2 linked regions of the Daphnia pulex genome follow. The protein of the gene in region 1 interacts with the protein of each later gene in a pairwise test. Links are inferred from orthologs where the notes say so. Each region holds a gene or a part of one and is shown on either strand. Other genes may lie near its edges. The genes, in order: Golgi phosphoprotein 3 homolog sauron-like and 14-3-3 protein zeta.

Region 1 (4,641 bases):
TCAGAGTTGATTACTTGATTCATTGGGAATCACACCAAAGATTGTGATAAGATGGGAAGCAGCCCAAATTCACATTTTCTAACAACCACGCTTCCCTTGATCTAGCTTCCGGTTGCTAACCACTGTACGTAAAGATGGCAGCACTGAATTTTACCTGTAAAGAAGGAACAAAAGACAATAAAAATCTACCACATGTTGCATCCGAATTCCTGATTTTTTTATTCAAACTACCAATAGTGTGTACATGCAGTAATGAAATAAAACATGTTATACACGTTCTCCCACATAATATAGTACCTAATATATAGCATTAGCCGATTAAAGGGAGTTGTTAAACACACATATCCAAATGAATTTTTGAGGGTCGCAATCCGCAAATCATTTCACAGTTTGCAGGTTACATATTTTTCATTTCATTTATATTGTTGTATTTTTAAAGATGGCGCGCTGCGCTCCCGATGGAAGGTATATTTACAATACATACCACAACGGGATTTCCCCAGAATTGTAACAAAAACGTCTCTCTCCTCTGCCCACTTTCCTCCACGTTTCAACCCACGTTAAATCATGAGAGTTCGCTATATAATAATAATAGTGGTTTCGTTAAATGAATATTTTCCCTTTCACCATTTAAAGAAAACTTGAATTAAAGAGGAAACAAGTGCACTGTGAGCGTGATCGGTAATTTTGGAAATGATTTTTAGATAAATCGAGGCTTCCCAACGCACACTCAAAATGGAGAAAATTAATAACACTCGTAGGATATTCTAAATATTGTTAAAAAAAGAAGGAGGGGCTAGTAATAACTGAAAAATGGTTTGAAAGAAGGAATGAATTGGAAAATCTAGCCTGGCTGCAGCTATGTAGGTATACAAAGGTAGGGTTATTTTTTTCGATGGCCAGTAGCTTAAAAAACGGGAAAAATAATGGAGACGCGGAACAAAAAAAGAAAGAAACTAAATAAGGATCAAAAGAAAGGGGATAGGCAAAGAAAATAAGAAAAATAAATGATATGGGAAGGGATAGGAGTGTACGAAAGGGATAGCAATACAATATTAGTAACAATAATAACGTTATCATTTGGTAAAGGAAGCAAAAACAGCCCACATCAACTCATTGGTTCCAGGTTTTGCACTCTCGTTGTCCAAGTCAAGGTAGAGGAGTTCACGAACCCGTTTCATGGCCAGCTCGTAGTCGTCGTCGTTTAATGGGGCAAAGGCATTCTCTAACACGTCAGAGGCGTGAGCCAGGAAGATGAGTGACAGCATGCGTTTGTCCATTCGATGAGCGTCGTTTACCCACTTGGATAAGACTGCTTCTTGTACCTGTAGATGGTTTGGTCAAAGGAACAAAAGGTTTAATGATATGGCTGGCTTTGAGAATGTGAAGACGTCACACCTTTTTGACAAGACGAGTTTTCATGATATTGTCCGTGAGAGGATGAGTGGTCATATCAAACAAGAGAAAATTCTGTTTCTCTGTCGTTAATACTCCCTTCTCCACCAAATTTTTGGCCAGGCGTTCCCGGACGTTTTTCAGTTGATATCTTAGTTTCAAGGGATTCCATGTTTCTCCTGTAAAAATATTTGAAAATCAATGAAAAATTCTAAAGTTGGAGGATTAAACAAATGACACTCACCACTGAGGTATTCTATCCAATTCTGTACCGTCTCAGGGGGATCTGTTTCCTTGACATGCTTGAGTGCCTCATCTAGGAGAACATCTCCAGTAGGTGAGTCATTCTTGAGTAGAATTTTTCTCCCCAATAGGGATCGTTTCCTCATTCCTCCTTTCTCTAGTTCAACTCTACCACGTAGGCCTAACTCAATCAATATGCATCCACGAAGACCACTAGATATGCAATCATTCCAGAATGAAGTATAGCCCTGTAAAGTTAAAAAAATTAAATTTAGGGGGGAAATGGACCAAGTATGACACAATAAATATTATGTATACCTCTTTATCTTTGAGGCCCAATAATAACACTTCTTCCATCAAGGTGAGTCTTGTTTCTTTGGAATCCAAATCATCCATATCATCTGTATCATTACTTGTACGGCGGTCTTCAACATCAGCTGGACCTGACGATATCTCAACAGGTCCTCCGCCACCAGTCCCCACACGAGCAGTCCTCCTTTGAACAACCCCTTCACGATTCATTTTTCTATCAAAACCTGTAACCAGAAAGAACTGTGAGAAGTGAGAACAACCACTCCAGAAAGCACCAAACTATGAATGATTAAATGCCAAATGAATACACTTTGAGTTTGACATTTGGATGTAATGAAATAATAATGACTTGATCCTTTTTTTGGGGAAATTATTCTAGTCAAAAGAACTGAACTGTATCTATTTGAAGAGTAATGAGCTACTTTGTTAAGTAGAGGAGGTAATCTGACCTGTGCACTTGTGAAAGAATAATACTGGCTTTGTGGCAATACGCTCGACGTCTCATCAGTCGCAGACAACGAAAAACAAACTCAAGAACTCAAGAAGAAGGAAACTAAACTATGAAAAGGGCACTACAGTTGTAACTTCGTTCTGGCTGATGAGTTTGTTGACATTCGGAGGCTCGTCTATGCCTTCTTACACGTATAGAAGAACTTTTGTACACGTATAATCTTTGGCAAGCAGGTAGGGTTCTCTCTGTAAAAACGTCGATTTTTGCCTGGTCGTCAAGGCAACAAGCCTGCTGCTTGCAAGTTGCGACGTGGCGTAAAAAAATTCAAAAATGAAAAAAACCAGAAGGTATTTCCCACGGTACGCGATTCGTATTTGGTGAATTGTGTAAACGTAAGCACAGAAAAAAACGGGAAAATTATGACAGTTATGGTAGTGCAAAGGTTTAGGCGATTTTCTTTCGAAAGAATTGTTATCTTGTGTAAATATAACCCTCGTCAATCAGTCCGTCACTGGACATTCATACACATAAGCCCTTAAAAAAAAATTATCTTTCCCGTCCGGATCGTAACTATGACAACATTAATTTGTGTCAATGGGAAAATGTAGATAGAAATGTGTTGCAATATTTGACCCGATATTTGCGATGAAACATAAATGACGATTTTTATTTTATCAAAGGAAAAATAGTTGTTTTCCTTGCTAGTTTCAATTTCAATTGATAGGTGGCAGCTTTATACCTACCAATTAAAAAATTCCGATGGGGAAATCCGCCTCGAACTCGATTCAGATAAAGGTATAAGTCTAGATAAATCAGATAAAAAACTTATTTGGATGTAACAGGACCTTATACCAGGTTCAATCTAACAAAGTTTAAATTGGGGAATCAAAAATGAATCTGTAATGGACAACACGCTTGTCCATTTCATCCGACGTGTAGGAAGAAAATCGAAATTTTTTACCGACGAATGAAAAATTGATTTGTAATTATATTCCGCAATGAAAACTCGATTTCCAAGAATCAACATTTATTTCCATACATCGCAATAGTATATCAGTATGACAGGATCGTTTGACGCATTACATCAGCACCTATTTTTACCTGCGCTTAATAATTCACTCTATACATGTAAACATGTTGAAGCGGAAAAATCAGTCACGTTCTACATCTGGTAGCCCCGTTGCCTAGTCTACTAATATCAACCGAAAGATGTGTGTAAATATTTGGCCATTTTCTGATCCTTTTAAAAAATCCGTAGAAAGTCAGCAAATATTTTGCTTATCTTGTTACAAGTTGTGTAACACAATTTGGCTCAAGCAACGGTGAAACCAGCAACTAAATTGGTCATATCTCTGCAGTAGTAAGAGCGATAATGGGTCACTTTTCGTGGGCACCTAACTAGCCAGCCAACTTGCAGGCAGCTAATCCGATAATAATTACTGCCGAGGAGTTTGTGTGAAAACGCATCCGGATTTCGTCACGATCTTCTCAGCAGCAACGGCGTTGGCAGCCGAAAGATGGCAGCTGGTGTTCTCCGTGCCGGCTCAAAATCCAAAAAACAAGATTCCGACCGAAATGATGAAACCGCGGCTCGTGTGTCGGGGGGATGAATGCCGACCGAGAGAATCCCGGCATTTGTATGCTACGGGGCGAATCAAATAATTCATCTGACCTTAATTAGAAAACCAACGTTATCCAAAAACTGCAAAGAGCGGAAATAGCTCAGCATAGAACAGTTGATGAGAATATTGATCCGACTCGTCTGATGTTAGTAAACACGTGAAAAAGACATTGAAAATGTAATATTCGCCGGCCAACACACATCTCTTTTATGTTGGAAACATTTTTCGCTAAAAAAGAGAAAAAAAGAGCTAGCTAGCTAGCTATACATGTAAAAGAAGAAGATGAAGTCCTCTCCGGCGCAATTGTTGCCTGCGGAGTAGTCTTTTTGAAAAGAAAACGAGGGAACGAAGAAAACGGGCGGATAGGGACGTCTGGCCGCTTTATTGCCACATCACAACCTCATTAGCTCAAGAGCATATGGACTGGAGAGTTTTTTTTTCCTTTTCCTTTTTGTTTGTATATGTAGCTCGGCCGACGACGACGACGACGACAGGAGCAGCAGCCGCTATTGAACATTCGATTTAAGAAAAGAAACTAGTGAGACTCTTGCGAATGAACAATTGCGCCAACTTTCAAGCCGATGTGTGTCTCCTGCAGTCTATTACGTCTACGCACTT
Region 2 (4,205 bases), about 3.5 Mb from region 1:
GTTTATCTGTGAAGACAATTCCACACTGCCCTTTAAGTCTTTTAGAGACTTCATGAAGGTTCTCTCTGCTTTCAGACTCTTTAGTTCTACCTAATGCAATAGCAATCACTCTGTTTTTACCGAGGAAGAACCTGAATCCGACCAAGCAAATTATAATTGACATTTCATGATTCATCATAAAACCAAGTTTACCTGCTGTCTTTCCACTCATTACGAATAGATTTCAGTTTGTTACTCCTCATATTTTGAACTGAAAAGAGATACAAGTAAGAATATTTCTCAACACAAGATCTAATGTCCTCAACCAATTGCTGTTTTCCACCAAGACCCTTCTTCTTAGTTTGTGTCAATGAAACTGAAAAATAAAAACATTAAATTCAGTTTTTACAAAAGTTAAACAAACAGAGAAACTTACTTTTTTGGAATCGCTTAGTTTTAGGCATTTTAAATGTTGTTTAGGTTTAAATTAGCGGAAATAGCGTCTCGACTTCAAGTTTGGAAAAACCACGTGTTTCGTTTACTATCCTAAAGAAAGACTTTGAGACTGTGAGTCGTCTGCAAACAACTACAAAGTTGCCGATTATTTTTAAATGTATAAAAATTAACGATATTTTCTTATTTTCCCAGATTTTACATTATTCTGTAAATTGCATTTGAAACATTAAGTACGATAACAGTAGGATTATTTTAATATTATACATTCACATTCATGTCAACATTCAAATTACTCAAGTGACTCTCGCTCCAAGCATTTTACTTATCTGAAATCTATGATTCATTAATCATTATCTTTGCAGCTGTAGGCCTAAATTTATTGAATTTCAAAGAAACTGAGCTCGAAGCCCTATGTGTTTATTTCTTTTATTCAAAGGTAAAAGTAGTATTTGAGACCGGTATTCTTATGACTCGTTTGTTGTTCTTCAATGCGACGAGTGATGAGCGAGCAAGGACCTGGCAAAGACATAGCAACCAAAATAATTATCACTCAATCGCTGAGCGTTTGGGACTATTGGGTAGTTTTTCTAGATCTAAACTATAAAGTTTCATTGGAAACAAGTATCTTTCATCAATTGTCCATGTTTTTATTTCGAAAATGTTCATTTGGCCACAGGGACATACTGAAGCTCGAGAACATTCTATTTTTTTCCCTCCCATTTACTATTCTGGCACAGAGTAAGGTTCTTTTGGAGATAAAAAGACTGTTCAGAGACTCAACCGTCAGCGCCCCCTTTATTCCGATATTTAATCGAATAGAAAGTATAATTCGTATAAAGTGTACCGTACAAATATAAATATTTAAAAGTTATGAAACTTGTTTCACCGTAGCTGTGTGGTAAGATCTTGGGCAATTTGAGTCTAAAAATATCTTAAGAGAATTCTTTGCAAGTTTTCCTGTTGTCGCAGATGGCGCTAGCTCCGACAGCATTTCAGTGTCCAGTCTTTCATACTTGGCGACTTCATCCAAGAATTCGATCGTCGATTGTGTTGCCGACGCGCGTATATCGATTAATAAAGACTCGATTAACAAAGAATCGATTACATCGCATATCGATTTAAACTAGTGGGAAGGAAAGGACGACTTGCATTCGCCAAAGACAGTTCTCAGTTGGTAAAGCTCAGCCAGCGAGGCATTTTCCGCTACACTTCGGCACCCACTCACGTAAGTTTGAGAAACTTGAATATGGTAAATGTAAGCAAGGACGGCAAGGATTAAAGTGAGAAATCGTGAGATTGTTCTTTTTGCGAATAAATGTAATGGAAATTCGGTTGGGCAGCGTGAAGCTGTAGCCGGTGAGGAACAGGGCGTCTAGAGTAGAATGTTCTCTAGTGCAGCTAGTGAGAGGCGCCATCTTTGCTCCCTACGCGACAGCTCGCACCAACCCATCCCACATTCCTTTCCTTCAAAAGTCTGTACTGGTGTGTCTTTATGTGCAGCCATTTTCTCTTTTGTAAAGAAGTCGCGTGTGGCTAATTGTAAAGATTCCCATTGTTCGCCAATTCAACCGAGGTATTTTATTTCTAGTTTTTCAACATCTGTGTCCTGCCTGCTGACAGTAGGTAGGAAGTAAAAGTGTCGGTGTGGCTTCGTCTTTTCAAGGCCATAGTAAACTTGATTAATGCTAATATTTTAGCTTTTGGTGTGTGTGTGTCTCAGCACACGAGGCCTCTCTCAAACGGAGGGTGGGTTCTGACGCTCCCGCGTGATTCATGCTTAAGGTCAGGGAGGGTGTGGTGACTGGTCCAATGGTGGCCGCTGTTTTGCGTTTTTCAGTAGTTCCATCCGTCATTCATTTAGTTTTCAATTTAAATCGAAAGATTCGTACTACGTAGCAGTGGGTTCTGCACCTGCATATCTGGTGTCTGTAATTATATCTATGTGTATATTAATTTCATCTTTTTCTCTACGTGTTTCCAACAGATATATATTAACAGAAAATGAGCATGGACAAGGAAGAATTAGTACAGCGAGCCAAGTTGGCCGAACAGGCCGAGCGTTACGATGATATGGCGGCGGCCATGAAATCGGTAACAGAGACGGGCGTCGAGCTGTCCAACGAGGAACGGAACCTGTTGTCTGTGGCCTACAAGAATGTTGTGGGTGCCCGGCGGAGTTCTTGGCGTGTCATTTCGTCCATTGAACAAAAAACTGAGGGATCCGAGCGAAAGCAGCAAATGGCCAAAGAATACAGAGAAAAGGTCGAGAAGGAACTTCGCGAGATCTGCTACGATGTCTTGGTAAATAAAATTAATCCTTCAATCTCTTATTTGTATAACATGTTCAAATGGAACTTTGGTCTTCGTACATGATCAGTCGACTTTCGAAACTTTCCGATTACATGTATTCATCTTGGTCGCTGAAGGTTGCATAAGTCTAGACGGTTGGCATCATTGTCATAGCTTCAAGGTCTTGCTCAAAGATGGCCATGTGTTGATGTGTCTAGGGTTAAGCAAACCTGGTCGACGCATCATTTCCTATGTAGTCGTAATGGCAGAAACCTGCGCACATAGGAAGTAGTGCAGTCACCTCCCCCTTCTGTGTATGTATTGATCTTCCCAGTTTTGTACTTCTTGGGTCGATCTATCAACTCTCCCTTTTCCCACCATTTTCTTTTTTTCTCGGGCTTTATTTTTTGGCTCGACCTTATGCAGGGGTGTTACCTAGCAACCCATTTTCTTATTCCTAGTTGATGCTTTCTATTTTATTGTCCTTTAGCCCAGTACGTTTAATCAACTAGTCTTCGATCCAATTATCAACCGAGATATGACATAAGCTAATGAATTTTTTTTTTTACTCTTCTGTAGGGTCTGCTCGACAAATTCCTGATCCCTAAAGCCAGCAACCCTGAATCCAAAGTCTTCTATCTGAAGATGAAAGGAGATTATTACCGATATTTGGCCGAAGTCGCGACCGGAGATACCAGAAACGGTAAGGATTGTTGCGTGCCAATTTGGGATGGGCCATTCAGTGAGGACGCTGGCATACCGACGATTACCTAATGCGTGCATAGGCGATCGCAAATGAAATCGATACTTGGGTTAGCGTGGATGGTTTCACTTTTGTTTAATTATTTTCAATTGCAGTCGGAAATTGTGGTTACAACTCTGCCGTTCGGATTGCGCACACAGATTAGTTGAAACTTGCAACGTTGACTCATATTTGGAATAGTTCGATATCGGAAATACCGATTGGTTACTTGTCAATTAACAAATGTCAAGTTTGGCATTGGCTAGTTGCACGAACTTCCGTGATTGCTATACGCGGCTTGGCTTCTTGCCATCACGAATTGGGACGCCGGCTCCCGTAAGCGGTTTAAATTTGTCGTGCATCTTGGGAGATGTTAGCTAGCAAAGGCTTTATCGAACTGTGCAATCCGAACAGGCAGAGCCATCTGTGAAAGACGACGTGAAAGTTTGAAATGGGTGGAGGGGGACTACGCAGTGGGTTACGTTGATTCCTCGAGGGGTTGTAATCAAATTTTTTGAAAATTCAATTTGTTTATTGAATACTTGTAGCCGTTGTCGACGATTCTCAAAAGGCTTACCAAGATGCGTTCGAAATCAGCAAGGCCAAAATGCAGCCGACGCACCCAATCCGGCTGGGTTTGGCTCTCAACTTCTCGGTCTTCTATTATGAGATCCTGAATTCACCTGAGAAAGCCTGCCAACTCGCCAAACAGGTCCGTTTGTATAAGACTCGCTTACTA

Evidence for each region.
Region 2: the proteins of Golgi phosphoprotein 3 homolog sauron-like (region 1) and 14-3-3 protein zeta interact in binary tests that used the Drosophila melanogaster proteins (3 or more experiments, as listed by UniProt). The link is inferred for Daphnia pulex from reciprocal best matches to the Drosophila melanogaster genes sau and 14-3-3zeta.

The regions. Positions count from the first base shown.
Region 1 is NC_060019.1:8,788,502-8,793,142, forward strand, and holds Golgi phosphoprotein 3 homolog sauron-like, read right to left. Parts: upstream 3,073-4,641; 5' UTR 2,400-3,072; intron 2,175-2,399; 5' UTR 2,161-2,174; coding exon 1,957-2,160; intron 1,887-1,956; coding exon 1,640-1,886; intron 1,575-1,639; coding exon 1,399-1,574; intron 1,326-1,398; coding exon 1,077-1,325; 3' UTR 196-1,076; downstream 1-195. UniProt on the Drosophila melanogaster protein: Phosphatidylinositol-4-phosphate-binding protein that links Golgi membranes to the cytoskeleton and may participate in the tensile force required for vesicle budding from the Golgi.
Region 2 is NC_060019.1:12,249,464-12,253,668, forward strand, and holds the start of 14-3-3 protein zeta, read left to right. Parts: upstream 1-1,405; 5' UTR 1,406-1,660; intron 1,661-1,843; exon of another isoform or gene 1,844-2,058; intron 2,059-2,419; 5' UTR 2,420-2,436; coding exon 2,437-2,736; intron 2,737-3,303; coding exon 3,304-3,427; intron 3,428-4,014; coding exon 4,015-4,178; intron 4,179-4,205. Other genes in the region: mRNA turnover protein 4 homolog, read right to left, coding at 1-131, 193-355, 416-443. UniProt on the Drosophila melanogaster protein: Required in Raf-dependent cell proliferation and photoreceptor differentiation during eye development. Acts upstream of Raf and downstream of Ras, and is essential for viability.